3 linked regions of the Schizosaccharomyces pombe genome follow. The protein of the gene in region 1 purifies or fractionates together with the protein of each later gene. This does not show direct contact. Each region holds a gene or a part of one and is shown in the gene's direction. Other genes may lie near its edges. The genes, in order: dsk1, sum3 and prp19.

Evidence for each region.
Region 2: the proteins of dsk1 (region 1) and sum3 purify together in Schizosaccharomyces pombe (affinity purification with mass spectrometry, with the first as the bait; one study listed by BioGRID). This does not show direct contact.
Region 3: the proteins of dsk1 (region 1) and prp19 purify together in Schizosaccharomyces pombe (affinity purification with mass spectrometry; 2 studies listed by BioGRID). This does not show direct contact.

The regions. Positions count from the first base shown.
Region 1 is NC_003423.3:823,997-829,729, reverse strand, and holds dsk1 (SR protein-specific kinase Dsk1), read left to right. Parts: upstream 1-1,797; 5' UTR 1,798-1,916; coding exon 1,917-3,551; 3' UTR 3,552-3,982; coding exon of another isoform or gene 3,983-4,485; 3' UTR 4,486-4,541; coding exon of another isoform or gene 4,542-4,665; 3' UTR 4,666-4,730; coding exon of another isoform or gene 4,731-4,856; 3' UTR 4,857-4,925; downstream 4,926-5,733. Other genes in the region: SPOM_SPBC530.15C (spermidine family transporter), read left to right, coding at 1-639; lsc1 (Lsk1 associated cyclin), read right to left, coding at 3,983-4,485, 4,542-4,665, 4,731-4,856, 5,070-5,151, 5,196-5,356. UniProt on the Schizosaccharomyces pombe protein: May play an important role in mitotic control by altering cellular location, degree of phosphorylation and kinase activity. Abundant expression accelerates the exit when cells are in M-phase and also delays the entry into mitosis when cells are in G2.
Region 2 is NC_003421.2:973,103-978,432, reverse strand, and holds sum3 (translation initiation RNA helicase Sum3), read left to right. Parts: upstream 1-1,719; 5' UTR 1,720-1,761; coding exon 1,762-3,672; 3' UTR 3,673-4,434; downstream 4,435-5,330. Other genes in the region: protein SVP26, read right to left, coding at 309-992; SPOM_SPCC1795.12C (uncharacterized protein), read right to left, coding at 5,271-5,330. UniProt on the Schizosaccharomyces pombe protein: ATP-binding RNA helicase involved in translation initiation. Remodels RNA in response to ADP and ATP concentrations by facilitating disruption, but also formation of RNA duplexes. Inactivation of ded1 blocks mitotic cell cycle progression at G1 and G2/M.
Region 3 is NC_003424.3:5,130,836-5,135,842, forward strand, and holds prp19 (Prp19 complex subunit, ubiquitin-protein ligase E4 Prp19), read left to right. Parts: upstream 1-2,387; 5' UTR 2,388-2,406; coding exon 2,407-2,464; exon of another isoform or gene 2,465-2,504; coding exon 2,505-2,609; intron 2,610-2,948; exon of another isoform or gene 2,949-3,094; coding exon 3,095-4,398; 3' UTR 4,399-4,507; downstream 4,508-5,007. Other genes in the region: RNA polymerase I upstream activation factor complex subunit Rrn5, read right to left, coding at 1-890; rRNA exonuclease Rrp17, read right to left, coding at 1,405-1,806, 1,854-1,959, 2,000-2,103; srb6 (mediator complex subunit Med22), read right to left, coding at 4,588-4,998. UniProt on the Schizosaccharomyces pombe protein: Probable ubiquitin-protein ligase involved in pre-mRNA splicing. May also function in DNA repair.

The DNA.
Region 1 (5,733 bases):
GAGCCCATATTACTTGTGGTTTCAACTTATACCGCTTTCGTATATGGTATCCTTTATGGATTACTTGAAGCATACCCAGTTATTTTTGGGGAGAGTCGAAAATGGAGGTTGGGTGTTGAATCTCTTCCGTATTTGGCTATTTTTGTTGGTGTTTGTATTGGATGCTCTAGCGTTGCCCTGTTCCAGCCCTACTATTTTAAAAAGATGGATGAAAATAAAGGAAGACCTGTTCCTGAAGCACGACTTCCCTCCATGATGATCGGTTGCATTGTCTTTCCCATTGGCATCTTTTGGCTTGCTTGGACTGGTAATTATCCATGGATTCATTGGATTGTTCCAACTTTGGCAGGTAGTTTTATTGGCTTTGGAATCATTACAATTTTTCAACAAACAATCAATTATATCATTGATTGTTATAGTGGATGTTCTGCTTCTGCAATCGCGGCCAATACATTACTTAGAAGTTCGTTTGGCGCGGCATTTCCTCTTTTTACAACCCAAATGTTCAATAATTTGGGAATTGGTTGGGCTGGTTCTCTGGTCGGATTTGTTGCAGTTGGGCTTATTCCAGTTCCTTTTATGTTGTTTTTATATGGGCCGAAATTACGACAAATGAGCAAGCACTGTCTAAAGGATTAATTCGTCATAGAAGTCCGCTTTTTAGTTGATTTGCTTGACCCTCTCTTTTCCAGTTTTTGTTTTTCTTATTTCTGTTATATTCATCTTTTTTATTCAGAAACCATGCCCGCGGTTTGTTGCCTTGGGTTAATGGCCTCAGCATTTACTTGTTGTTATTGTTATTTTCGTTAATTTAACCAGTTTGCTGCCGTTTAGATATTTAGAAACGATGGACTTTGTTTTAAATGATCTCTATTACCCGCTGCCTCTTTCTTTTGTCTTTTTGTGACTTCTTTAATAATTCATCATCCTCAATGATTACTTTTGTTGATCTCCGTTTCCTTTATGTTTCTGATCATCACAAAAAAAGTACCTTTCAAATAGACATTTATATTTATTGGTTGGTTATGAACCTTACATATGATTTCCGTTTACCATAATACATTGCTAAGACCTCAACAAAAATAACTGTTAGCACAGGCCATACTTGTCAATTTATTATATCCCGTTTTTATCAATGTAATTGAATGTTTTCGAGTCCAGGTCTTGCCCGTAGAATCACGGTTAGTGTGAGTAGGTAGTAGATCTCGGGCCGTAGGTGTGAATGCCGTAAAGCTAGAACATTATCTGAGAATTTTCATTTTAAGAACGCCGTATGTTGAGAGAGAAAACAGATCTTAAATATCCCTCTTTTCAACGACTCAAGAATTGTTTACATTTTTTCTAGCTATCCTGTCGAGATCTAAGAGCTGAATGGGATACAGTTATAATGGATAACGATATAAATTTGGAAGACCTTAACACATCTTATGGAATTCTAACGGCTGGGCTACTTCGGTAAAAGTAGTTAGTAAGGGATAGCGATGGGATGAAAGCGCAGGGGGTTCATATTCTATCAACTGCTGATATTTTTAGTGATGCCTTAGTCATTGGTATTCATATATACGGATTTTTAAGTAGTATTATTAAAATATTTATGGTACAGTAACGGAGTGTAAAGGTGGCTTCTCCTACTGGCGTAAAATAATTAGTAAACCATTTTCCCATTTTTTGTTATTTACTATATCGAAACGCTCTTCCTAATGCGCAAAGTTTCCTCGGTAGTGTGCTAAGACTCCACGGTGTTTCCCCGTGTTGATTTTCGCACTAAAAATACTACTCCATACCGTATTTATAACCAGAACAAACAACAACAACAACGAAGGAATTGGTGTATTCACATATCTCAGATATTTTAATTTAAGAGCTGGAGGGACATATCAGTAGTTTCTTCATACGGGGCAGCCAGCCATTTTGAAATGGGAAGTGACGGGTCGAGTTTGTCACCGAAAGTGTCACAACCGGGACACACTGAAATAGTTGACCATGTCAGTGAAAAGGTGATCACGAATGGAAAAAATGTTAATAAAAAGGTCAATGCTGAAGTAGACGGAAAAAGCATGGTGGAAAAGGTAAAAACGCACGAAGAAAATGCAGAGGACTATCACTATGGTGGATACCACCCAGTCTACATTGGTGAAGAATTTCATCACCGTCGATATGTCGTTGAAAGAAAATTAGGCTGGGGACATTTTTCAACGGTTTGGCTTGCATATGATCGAGCTGCCAAACGGAGAGTAGCTTTGAAGGTGGTGCGTTCAGCAGAGCACTATCGAGAGACCTCAATTGATGAAATTCGCATTTTGCAGAAAATTAGAGAAGGGGACGAAAAGCATTTGGGCAAAAAGCATATCATTTCTTTGCTCGATTATTTTGTGCATCGTGGTCCTAATGGAGCTCATGTCTGTATGGTATTCGAAGTTCTCGGTGAGAATCTTTTAAGTTTGATACAGTCATACGGCCATCGAGGAGTACCTGTGGGTATTGTAAAGCAAATTGCCTACCAATTACTCATCGCTCTGGATTACTTGCATCGAGAATGCGGGATCATTCATACTGATCTTAAACCCGAAAATGTTTTAATATGCATTGATCAGGATGCCTTGCAACATATTGAGGCACCTGCAACAACTTCCTCCCCCACTTCTAATACCTCTTCTTCAAAAACAAGAAATAACACTGGTTATACAGCCAAAGCTCCAATTATTAAACGTGGCCAATCTGTAGATAACTCTGCCCAAGAACGCAAGACATTTGCAAAAAATCCAACTAAGAATTCTAAGCCTGCTGGCCAGGTCATTCCTAGCAGTCCTTTTACTTCCACTTTGAGCCGCTTTCCTTCATTAGAAGGTGCTGTTTCAGAAATCAGCCTTCGTGACTCTCAAAAGCATAATTCTCATCCTAATTCTCCGTTTTCTAGTGGAGATAATTCTCTTATACTTGATGGTGTTAACGGTTCTCAGGAACCCGTTCCAAAAATCACTGTTAAAATTGCCGATCTCGGTAACGCGTGCTGGACACGGAAGCATTTCACCAACGATGTGCAAACCCGTCAGTATAGGTCTCCAGAAGTAATTCTAGGATGTCGCTGGGGAGCTTCCGCTGATTGCTGGAGTTTTGCCTGTATCATTTTTGAATTGCTAACCGGCGATTACCTTTTCGATCCACGGAATGGGAATTCTTATTCTAAGGAGGATGACCACATTGCCCAAATTATTGAGTTATTGGTTAATTATCCTAAGCAAATGGCACTTTCAGGAAAGCACTCCCGCGATTTATTTAACCGTCGCGGTGAACTCCGAAATATTCATAAATTGAAGTTTTGGCCTTTAAAAGATGTTTTGGAGCAAAAATACCATTTTTCAGCCGAGTTGGCTCAACAAATATCAGACTTTTTATCTCCTATGTTATGTTTTGATCCTGCCAAGCGAACCAATGCTGGTTACATGAGCAATTCTCCATGGTTGCGCGAAGTGGCTGATCCTACGTTCAAAATCGAGACTACTGGAGCAACCGGTGAAGATGTACCCGGATGGGCTACTGAAATTCGTTAGTGTTTACCTTGATATTGGTTTTGAAGCGCTAGTAAATGATTTTTTTTTATATATAGTTTTTTTTTGCGATATCGTCCCTTTTTTAATTTCCCACCATTAGCGTGATTGCTTTAAAAAAGCATGACACCTTTCACTCTGAAATGGGTTACGTATGATTATCACGATTCCTTCTTTTGATCAACATTTACTGCACTGAAATTTGAACGAAATTTCCTTTTACTTAATGAATATTTAAGATATAGCAGGGTTTAGGTCAGCTGCTTTTTAAATCATATTATGTTTAGAAAACGCATAAAATAAAGTTTTGTCATTCAAAAGGAAGTTAATTGGAAATTGGTAACTTGTAATGTCACATATTAATATACTGTTCAGAATGCTGTCGAAAGAAGGAACAAACCGATGGTAAGATAACTCATTAAGGAACCATTAGATTAAACCGTACCTTTATTTCTCCTTTCTTCCAGCATTCGTTTTTCAAATTCGGTATTAAAATACTTTCTATCGCAGTCTAAAATAAATCTGGCACAACTTTCTTTGGATTCTTGAAGTCTCTTATTTGACTCACGGTATTCATCTGCTAAAGAAGAAGAATGAGGGTCAATTTGGGGTGGTTTTTGAGGACGGCCAGAGTTTTTTTGGGCTCGTTGGAAGTCAACACATAATCCAAGTAATTTTTCCGTTGTATACATATTACCAATGCAAGTGTGAGGCTGATAATGCATATATAGATCGAGTATATCCGCAATCACTGCTTCCGTTAGTGCTGGTGGAGCGAAGAACGATCTGGGAATTATAGGTTGAGGAAGTTGCTGTAACTTGCAAGCAATAGAAATCGATGCGACGGCAACAATATGGGCTGGATATTTTAACATTGTGTATGTTTTATAAGCATCAGTGCAGACATTCCAAGCTATACTTGCCGTGGAAGATGAAACTGAAAGTAAATTAGTTAACTCGAAAATTATAAGGTAAAATGAATAGCAGTCATACATTTCAGTGATTTTGCAAATTTTACCATGTAATTGTGTGGATGTCGGACTCGAAAATCGAAACAAATCAATTCCAGTGTCATTCTTTCTAAACCTAGAATCCTCTTCTTGTTCTCTTCGATTAGCTAATACACCTGTAAGCAAGTCTCCTTATAAACAAAAAACAATTATTGCGCACCTTGTAACATACTTGTGAATGAGCATCGACCTCAGAACCTGGATGCTTTTGAAGATAATGTGCTAAAAGAATATCACGAAACTTTTTGGCCGTATCTTCGATTTTACTAGCAACTACTAAGCAAGCAGTAGCGCACTCCTAAATGTGTTAGTTATTTTTGAAAGAAAAAGAGCCTAAATCAAGAGAATATGATGTTTATAACTTGGAGTAGCTGAGCTAACATTATTAAAAACTGTAGTCTTTTTTAATAGTATGACCAATGTACAGCATTCAGAATATTCTTATATCAGAATACGTAAAATTTCAAATAGCACAGCATACTCATGTGCGAAAGACATCCAAATAACATACCAGCAAAGGAATTTCATTCACGGGAAAAAATAGTTGGAAACGACTGTATAAAAGCATTGCAAGGCCGCTGGTCCTTACAGGGCTAAAAAAAAGTTAGATTCTAGATAATTTTGAGGAAAAGCATACAATTTTAAAGTTTTTGAAAGTGTTGATATCCAAGCGAACGCCTGCATTCGCAAATTATTTTCTTTGGGATCTCGCGTCGACAAAATTCGACTTATTTCTTTTTCTGAATAGTATGGGTGTGACATTCGTATTGAAAGTACATGATTCTCATTTTCTGCCATTTTAGCAGCTAAAATGGTGCTGGGTTTGTGAAGGCCTGGCTTTACCTGCAAGGTGCAAGTATGCTGAAGTTAAGCGATTCCTTTTAAGTAACGCATTTTATCATGTTGTATACTGTAAATCAATTAAAATAAAATAATTTTAATTCAGCAATTGCAGCTCGAAATTATCATGGAAATGTTCGCAGTTATTGAATTTGTAAATTATGACAGTCCTGCGTGCTATTGTAAAAGAGTTATGAAATTACTCATTTCTAAAATAAAATGATTGTTTAACCTTCGGAGTGTTCGTCGTTTAATTTCTGAAAGTAGCGAACTCCTACACTACAACATGATTTTAGTAAATTAGTTATTTAAGTAAGGAATAGAGACGCTATGAC
Region 2 (5,330 bases), on another chromosome or scaffold:
CTACACGTCCGAGATGAAATTTAAGTCAAATTGACAATACAATTTCCATGTTGAAAAAAATAACAATAGGCAATCCTAAAGAACAACGACAAAACGTAAAAGAAGGATAATTTTGTTCGCTCAAACTGACCGAGAAAAAGTTAAAGTGTTGATGAAGAAAGTATGAAGAAAACTATATACAAAATAAAAGTCGAAAAAAAAAAGAGATGCAACATGTTGTGAGTAAATGATCACATAAGAAGTACAGACATTACAGTAAAGTTAAACGAATCCTTAATTTAAAAAGACAAGCATCCCTCAAACTCAACTCAGACGTAACGTTCACTTGAACGATCACTCAACCCCAAAGAGGTAAGACTACGTTCGACGAAGATACCTAACTTTTTATAAGCTTGTCGAAGTACATTCGACGTCCGACGAGATGATCCAGAAGAATAAGCATCAGGGGACGAGGAAGACGGGGTTGTAATGGTAGGAAGTGTATTGTCAGCAGCGGTAAAGGAAACAAAAATACCAATAGGAACAGACCATACGCATACCCCCATAAATGAAGCAACTTGTGAAAAGGAAGCACGAGAGGTCAAAAGGCGTTGACCAACAAAATCGTAAGTGAGTCCACGAGGTTTAATAGGGAATTCATGCACCTGGAAAAAGCGGACCCATAAGATATGATTCGCGACAATAAGGAAACATGCTAGCAAAAATCTCATTCTCTTAAATGAGAAGAAAGGAAAGGTATCAAAGTTGATTTTATAAATGTAATGACTGAAAATGGAGAATGCCGAGAGCCAAAAAGGAAAACCATCAAATATAACCAAAAACACCATTACCGCCATAATAAAATAAACCAACCGACATAAAAACGCCTTTGCGAGCCTAGAGTGCTCTTCTACAAACTCTGAAATGTAATACAAAGCTGATGCGATACTCACGGTCATGCCTATGAATCCCAAAACGATACCCAAGTACGACAGAGCATTAAGGACAATCATTTTGAAAAACGCTTTTAATTATGTCGTATCTAATAATCTTAACAAATGTGATTTTCTTTGGACTTCTTCAATATAGATAAATATGTTCGGATTTGTCGAATAAATACGGTTTTAATGCACAGCACCGCTTACAAAGCTTCTGCCTAAAGGTTTTAGCAATTTCTTAAGTTGCAAGGCACAATAAAAATATCAATTTCTATATTTTGTAGTATTGGTTGGTATGGGAAGACAGCAAAACCATGGCTGGTACTCCTGAATATCACTACGACCTTAAACAGAAAGCAAACTGTATGCTAATAATTGTAAATTTGAAAGTTGAATTTTCTTATTCCAATTAAAATGATTAATATGTATACTAAGTCTGCTATTTAGAGACGAGCATAACGGTGGTTTTTAGTTTTGGTGAGTGGCAATCGTGTACCTACATTACGGTGCCTAAATGTTTAGTTATATAGATTATAAATATATTTATATAGTAAAACCTTTCAATTAATTTTTATTCTTTAACGTAGTCAGATGATAGCACGTGTACTGACTTAAGGTTTCAAAAAAACTATTAATACCCATACATATTGGTATCAAAATTAACTAAAAAATAATTTTAAATTGTTTAAATGACTTTTTATCCTTGTTAAAAATTGTTTTCGTTGACATATCTAATTTGCTGAGGGGTTAAAAAGGGCAGTCCCATCGTGTATTTGGTAGCATTTAATGGCCAACTTAACCTAACCTCAACCAAACACTTCAACTCAGAAATACAAAAAATATTATGAGCGACAATGTACAGCAACAAGTAGATTCAGTTGGTTCTGTGACTGAAAAATTGCAAAAAACAAACATCAGCAGACCTAGGAAGTATATTCCTCCTTTTGCTAGGGATAAGCCAAGCGCTGGCGCAGCTCCAGCTGTTGGCGACGATGAGTCTGTCTCATCTCGTGGCTCTTCTAGGTCTCAAACTCCTAGTGAGTTTTCCTCTAACTATGGAGGTCGCCGTGAATACAATCGTGGCGGTCATTATGGTGGTGGCGAGGGCCGCCAAAATAATTACCGTGGCGGTCGTGAAGGTGGTTACAGCAACGGCGGTGGTTATCGTAACAACCGTGGATTTGGCCAATGGAGAGATGGTCAACACGTTATCGGAGCCCGTAACACTCTTTTGGAGCGTCAATTATTTGGTGCCGTTGCTGATGGTACCAAAGTTTCAACTGGTATTAACTTCGAAAAGTATGATGACATCCCTGTTGAAGTTTCCGGTGGAGATATCGAGCCTGTTAATGAGTTCACTTCTCCTCCTTTGAACTCTCATCTTCTTCAAAACATTAAACTCTCTGGCTACACTCAGCCCACCCCAGTTCAAAAGAACTCCATTCCTATTGTCACATCCGGACGTGATTTGATGGCCTGTGCCCAAACCGGTTCCGGTAAGACTGCTGGTTTCTTATTCCCTATTCTTTCTCTTGCTTTCGATAAAGGACCTGCCGCTGTTCCTGTTGATCAGGATGCCGGTATGGGTTATCGTCCTCGCAAAGCCTATCCTACCACCCTTATTTTGGCTCCCACTCGTGAATTAGTTTGTCAAATTCATGAGGAATCTCGTAAATTCTGTTACCGTTCTTGGGTGCGTCCCTGTGCTGTTTACGGTGGTGCCGATATTCGTGCTCAAATCCGCCAAATTGACCAAGGTTGCGACTTGCTTTCTGCTACTCCTGGTCGTTTGGTTGATTTAATCGATCGTGGTCGTATTTCTTTGGCCAACATTAAGTTTTTGGTGTTGGATGAAGCTGATCGTATGCTGGATATGGGTTTCGAGCCTCAAATTCGTCACATTGTGGAAGGTGCTGACATGACAAGCGTTGAAGAACGTCAAACTCTCATGTTTTCTGCCACTTTCCCCCGTGATATCCAACTTTTAGCTCGTGACTTTTTAAAGGATTATGTCTTCTTGAGTGTTGGTCGTGTCGGTTCCACTTCGGAGAATATTACTCAAAAGGTCGTACACGTTGAAGATTCTGAAAAGCGTAGTTACTTGCTTGATATTCTTCACACCTTACCTCCTGAGGGTCTTACCTTGATCTTTGTAGAGACTAAACGCATGGCTGACACACTTACCGACTATTTGTTGAATAGCAACTTCCCCGCAACAAGCATTCACGGTGACCGTACCCAACGTGAGCGTGAGCGCGCTTTGGAATTGTTCCGCTCTGGCCGTACTTCCATTATGGTCGCTACTGCCGTCGCCAGTCGTGGTTTAGATATTCCCAATGTCACGCATGTTATTAACTACGATTTACCTACTGACATTGATGACTATGTGCATAGAATTGGTCGTACCGGTCGTGCTGGTAACACTGGTCAAGCTGTTGCGTTTTTCAACCGTAACAACAAGGGTATCGCTAAGGAATTGATTGAGTTGTTGCAAGAGGCCAATCAAGAGTGCCCCAGCTTTTTGATCGCCATGGCTCGTGAAAGCAGCTTTGGTGGTAATGGACGTGGTGGCCGTTACAGTGGTCGTGGTGGTCGTGGAGGCAATGCTTATGGTGCTCGCGACTTCCGTCGCCCTACTAATAGTAGTAGTGGTTATAGCTCTGGCCCTAGCTACTCTGGATACGGTGGCTTTGAAAGCCGTACTCCTCATCATGGTAACACTTACAACAGTGGTAGTGCTCAATCCTGGTGGTAAATTTCCTAAAAAAATATTTTTATTGGGTTACGTGCATCTGTGTTATGCACAGGCTTCTGATGATTTCCTTTAGTCAGAGGCCGAAGTATTGTGTCCATTGTTTTGCTGACATTTGCAAAGCGCGAGGATGTCAGAAAGGGCGAAATATTTGGCTTTAATTAACTGTGATTGAGTGAGTTGCACGAAACGTCTTTTGTTTAGGTCCGGTTTTTTTCATTTTTAAGCTGGGCTTGGACGGATGCTCATTGGGTGTGCTTTTTAATCGTTGCGGTTGTGGAAGCGTTATGTAAAAACGATCCGGCAAAATTTAGTATGCGGTGTTGTGTTTTATTGCATAATAAGATGAGGCGAAAGTTTCAGAAGTCAATGCGTGCATGATTTATTCACGGGACTTTTTAAATAGAATATGCATATTTGAAACATTTGCATTGACGAAATGGATGTACGAATACGACGGGCATACAAAATGACATATATTATACATATTTTATATATATCTATTGATATGTTGAAAATTTCTACAGGCTTTGAGCTCATGATTTTAAAAATCAATGATGGATCTTTTTTTACGAGTCTGTGTTTCTTTTTTTCGAGAGAACTTGGAAATAGGTTAGTGTCTCTCTTTTGTTGGATTGTGGTTCTTGGGTAATATTTCTTTAGGAAAAGGTTTACGATTCTGCAATTTGTAATAATAGGATGCGCGCTAGAGCAAATTAATAAATTTTATTGCAATAATAAACTATACACATGTTATTAGGCAAATTAGTTATTAGTAAAATTAAGGAATGTAATTAGTGATATGTACAGTCAGAAATACTAGAAATATATACGAAAGATTAAGTAACGCAGCTACAATGATCACTGATACAGAAAGTATTTAAGGGTCTAGTTGGACTAGACAATTGTTTATTTATTGTGTCGCAGTAGTCACAATCAAAAGAAATAATTAAATAAAAAATTAGAAATAAATGGTGAACCACTTGGACCTATATGCTTTGACGACATACATATTAATAAGTGAGGACAATGTCAAGGGTAACTTAAGTAAATGTTGAAGAAAAATGCTTGATGATTATGTTTTTACGTTCTCAATTAAATAAGTAACTTTTCAATTAATTGAAAAACGAATATTAATGAGTAACCATGACTAGGATTAAAAGAATAAACAACCATACTTAAACTTAGTATTCAATAGATTGTTGAGATTAAAGAGAACAAAAATTAAGGAAACAGATCACAGCACAATTTCATCAAAAAATTGCAATTTTTCTTCGTTTTTCTTTATGTTTTTATATAATATAAAAAATTGATGAAAAGCAAGTAGTCCTTCTCTTTTTTTTTTTTTAAAGAAAAACCGAAAACAAATGTAGAAAAGACAAGTTAGGAAACAGGTTTGTAAAACAAGCAAGCTAACCGAGAACAAAAAGAGACGCATTTACAAGGGATATAAATATGTACAATTGAAGGTGCGAAAATTTTTCACAAGTCCTTGCGCACTGGGAATGCGATAAAAGAAAAAAACCATAGGGAACAACCGAAGATCCAAAGTACCAACAAAACGAATGAAGCTCTTGCTCTAAACATTGTTAAGAGTTAATTTAATCCCGGAAGGAAACAAAAGCAATTAATAAGATGAAAGCGATTAGAAACATTGAGAG
Region 3 (5,007 bases), on another chromosome or scaffold:
TTCATCTTTTGTCTAGTGGGTAAATACTTCCAAAATCCGGGTATATTGAATCGGTGAAATCGTAAAAATTTGCCTGACAGAACAACGTCTCTATTCTTGATAATAGGTTTTCTATGAAAGGCATTGTTAGCCTCTAGTTTCCTAAACCTAGACTCCGCCAAAAATATAGATGTTCCGATTAATTCCTTCAACTTGCTTTTAATGATTTGTAATAAAAACTCCGTAGCGCCAGCAGAAAGTGGATTGCTTGGAAAAGGCGCTTGTCGATCGAAATGATAAAACCGTTCAGAAATCTTTCTCATCTCATTTGTATCAAATAAATCCTCATTTGAGGTTTTGTTTTTGACACTTTGCGCATTATAGTGTGAAGTTTCAACCCCTGAGATATTCGAACCCTCAAGAAGTCTTTCCGCAATTTTTTCTTCCCAATCAATCCAATTCTGACTCATTTCCATTGCAATAGGTATATCTTCATATTTCAACAAACATTGACTGCGCACGGATGCGTCTACGTGATTACGAAGCCAACGTAGCTCATTCTCTAAGGCATTTATGTAACGCTCGATCTGCACAGCGCTTTTAGAAGGAATGGAGTAAGCTATCAAATCTAAATCTCTTTTCCCATTTCGAGCAACCGCTTGAAAAAACAGTTCTTTTTCTTCTGCACTCCAGTAAGTTCCATCCACACAAGAGCCACTAAGAACGCCCCATTGTTCTTCTTCCAAATCAAAGTCACGCTTATTTTCAGTCTCAACTTCGTATTGTTGAAGGACGTCTAGGTATCGTTCATCATGAGTCATGTACAATTGCTCACTTGAGCCAATGATAGATGCAGTGCTTAAAGGCGTTGACCCTTCACTCTCATTTAATCCGTTTATTGAAGAAGACATGTTATTATTGAGAACATGATCAACGCTAATGAAATAAAAGCTGTTGCAGTCTTCTTTTTAATATTTTTTTGTTTACCACATTACCAGACGTGGTTTGTGTTCTGACAAAGATCAAACTCGGTATTCTAGTGAATTTCGCTAATATACTAAAATCCAAAGGAATATATAAATGTAGAGTATCTCTAAAATTTACGGGTTTTAAACATAATAAAAAAATATAAATCGTGCTAAAATCTAGCTTACCGCTTATTGAGTACAAATTTTTTGCGCATGTACAAACACCTTAATCAAAACTGTGAACAAAAAATTGAAAAAGGCTGAAATGCATATATCAGACCAAGAAAAACTCCGTATATGTAATGATCTCTTGTAAAGTAGTTTGTTAACTTCCAAAAATTCTCAACCTGAAAAACGAATGGACAATTGAATTCAAATATCATTTTATACCAACCATATTCATAAATATAAAAAAAGGGCAAGATGCGTCAAACAACGTGTGCTTGAAGTTCCTAATTTAACGTCTTATTTTCTTCTTTAAACGACGTATTTTTTCTTTTCTTCTGTCCTGTGTACGTTCAAATTTGCTCTCATACCGAAATTTCTTTTTGGCGGCATTTTTAGGCTTGTGGGGACGCAAAGGAACATCTGGTGGAGGAGAAATACGAGGCGTGACAAAACCTTCTTTAGGATAAGCAATTTCTTCATCATCATCGTCCTCTACAATTTCTACCGTAACATGCTTATCATCTTCGTCATACTCAGTAGTTTTAGGCTCCATTGATGACTCTTCCTCGCTGTCAGATTTAGATGAGGAATCTTCTTGCTGTGAAGATTCTTCATCATTTTCTAGCGAGCTATTCAACTCTTTAGAGAATGCTAATCGCTCAGCCAGTTCTCTTTTGCGCTGTTCTCTGAGCTGAATAGTGTTAGTGATATACTCAAGATAGTATTAGAAAAACTTACAGATTTCCTCAACGCTAAACGTTCTTCGCGTTTTTGCTGCTCCAATTGAACTTGAGCATGCTTTCGTCGTTCAACTTTGCGTTTATGAAATCCAGTTAAATACTCTCTGTAACAAGTTAGTAGCAATCCCTTTATGATATCCATACTTTCGCTTCTCTTTATCAAAGACGATCTCCTCCAATCTTTGCTTCTTCCCTTTCTTCCTGCTGTAAATCTCACCTCCACGGGTTAGTAGAGATGTATTATCCATGATGCAACAGTTCGTGAGTAGCTAGAAGAGAGGGACAATTTATGGGAATCTGTAGTGATTTTAAGTAAATTATCTCCAATTCTATCCAGTCTCGTAATGGTCCAGTAGATTTATGAAGACGAGAGGTACTGAAACCCTACTATGCCTTGTACGTACATTTGCACTACTAACTAGAAAATTATTTGCAAAATGCATCGCATTTGCCTTATATTATATACGGATATTGGTATAGTGCAGTAAACGATTAGTTGGCTATGCATTGCTTTCCTCTAGCTATTACACACAGAAACCAACGTGTGCCGAATGTTTTGCTCAATCAGTGGAGAAACGCCAAAAGAACCGGTGATTTCTCGTGTAAGTGGTATGTTTGTACAATAATTTCCCTGTCTGACTGAATGTAGGAAATGTTTACGAGAAGCGCTTGATTGAACAAGTTATTCGTGAAACGTCTAAAGACCCTGTTACTCAACAGGAATGCACGTTGGAGGACTTGGTTCCTGTAAAGGGTAAGATTTCCTTCTTTATTATTGAATGGTTAAGAATTTCAAGTAGCACTTATTTTTTTATACGTGGAGTACTGAATATTCTGAAATTGGTTTGGAAAGTAAAACCCTGCAATATTGGTTGAAGAACTCGTTTATTTTCTTTTTTTTGTTGATAATGTATTTTATTGCATGATTGATTTGTACTCGAAATTTTTTAATTTTACAGCTTTATATTTCTCCTTAAAAAGTGGACTATTTAGTGCATGTCAATATCTCGGGGCAGAAATTAGGAAGGTTTTTAGAGAATTATAGAACAACCTTGTCGGATTTATCAAAACAAATCTTTATCAAAATTAATGTGGAGTTGTTGAGGAAAATGTATTAATACTTTAGATTTTTTTTGGTTTTTGCTCTCCAATGCGATTTATATTTACTATATTTTGATTGTACTGACCATTCACATATAAAGCGAATCAAATCGAAGATAATTGCTAACCTTTAAACAGTACCTGATTTTGTTAGACCTCGACCTCCTTCTGCCACTTCATTGCCTGCATTGCTGTCTCTCTTTCAAGAAGAATGGGATTCTGTCGCGCTTGAGCAATTTGAACTTAGAAGAAATCTTACAGAGACGAAGCAGGAGTTATCAACGGCATTGTATTCGCTAGATGCTGCGTTAAGAGTTATATCTCGGCTTACCAAAGAAAGAGACGAAGCTAGAGAAGCATTGGCGAAATTTTCCGATAACATAGGCACTGTTTCCTCGAAAACTATTGAAGTACAAGAGGTAGAGATGGGCGAAAGTGATGACCAGCTTAAAACTAGCTTACGCTCTACGGTGGAAAAAACATTTCAAGAACTTTCTTCCAAAAGGAAACGTACAAAGTTACAACCTAAATGGGCGACTGACGATGCTGTGAGTCAGCTCTTGCAAGCTACTCCTTCTACTATCTTAGAAAATTTGGAAACAGAAAGCACTACGTCTTTCTTCCCGTCCCCTGAAAATTCTTCTTTTGTATTATGTCTTCATAAGGATGAACTTTTATGTCTAGATATCCAATCCAACAGTACTCTCAAAATTTTTGAAGGATCAGCTTTAGCGTGTTGTTGGTTGACTTCTTCCAAGATTGCTGTCGCTACTGCTGATGCCATTTCAATTTTTGAATTTCCTGTTTCCTCATCTGGTTTACAAAGTGTGGGTGAACCTACTTCGTCCATTCCTATAGACGAAAAGGTGAACTTCCTTCAAGCTCATCCAAGTGGGGAATATTTATTAGCAGCATCAAACGAAAAGTGTTATATTTTCTCCCTGAAATCCCAGGTTTATAATATCACCGTTGCTCAACACATTACATCTCTTGCTGTACATCCGGACGGTAACCTCTTTGTCGCTGGGTTAGAGAATGGCGAGTTACGCTTTTTTGAGACTTCCTCGGGAAATGAGCTTACAAAATTTGGACCACATTCAAGTCCAGTTAAAACATTACAATTTGGTGAAAACGGTTATTGGCTTGTAGTAACAACTAATGATGACTCTGACATTTTCATTTGGGACTTAAGAAAATCTGAGCTTGTTCAAAAAATACCCCTACAAACCAAAGTCGCAGCAGTGTCATTAGATATTACTAGTCAACTTTTGGTAAGTTCGGATGGGGAGACTCTCTATGTACATATTTATGTCAAATCTTCAAAGTCTTGGAGATGTATGAGTCAAACCCATGTTTCCTCTATTTCTAATTTGGTTTGGTTAAATGAGTTACACCAGTTGTTGTTTAGTACTTCAAATGGAGCCATTCTCCGGTTGGGTTAACCCAATTTTTAATCCTTTAATTATGTGCTCCTCCATTAGGCTTTTCGTATTTAGTAAGATTTTGGCTCTTTAACTTAAGTGATTTCCTTCATAATGAAATATTTAGGCAAACTATTATTTTTCAGATAGATGTATCATTAAATTTTGACATTTGGTTTAATTGGCAAAAAATAATTTATGTGAGTTAACTCAAGTGTCAGAAACAGTGGGAGCCTCAGTTGTTTCTGATGCTTCTGGTTCAATTAAACTGACTTCCAGTAAATGATTTTGTAGTTTAGTAAGAGTTCTTTTAACTTTCTCAAGATCAGGCTCGCTGTAATCGACAGTCGGAAAAGACGTGGAAAGAGAATTAGTGAGCCAATATGATTTAATTTGTCGAGAAACATCCAGTAACTGTTCTACCGCGCGAACCATGGACACAGTATGGCATTCAATCTGGTAAACCTCTGGTGCTACCGTATATTTATCTTTGCCTTCATTTATAGCAATATCCAGTATGTCTTGAAACCTTGACAAAATAGTTAGTGTAGCATTGTCAATAGACGAATTTAAAGTATTAGTTCGCTGAACTAGCTGCCGTTGGAAACTGTCTGAAGACATACTAGCTTT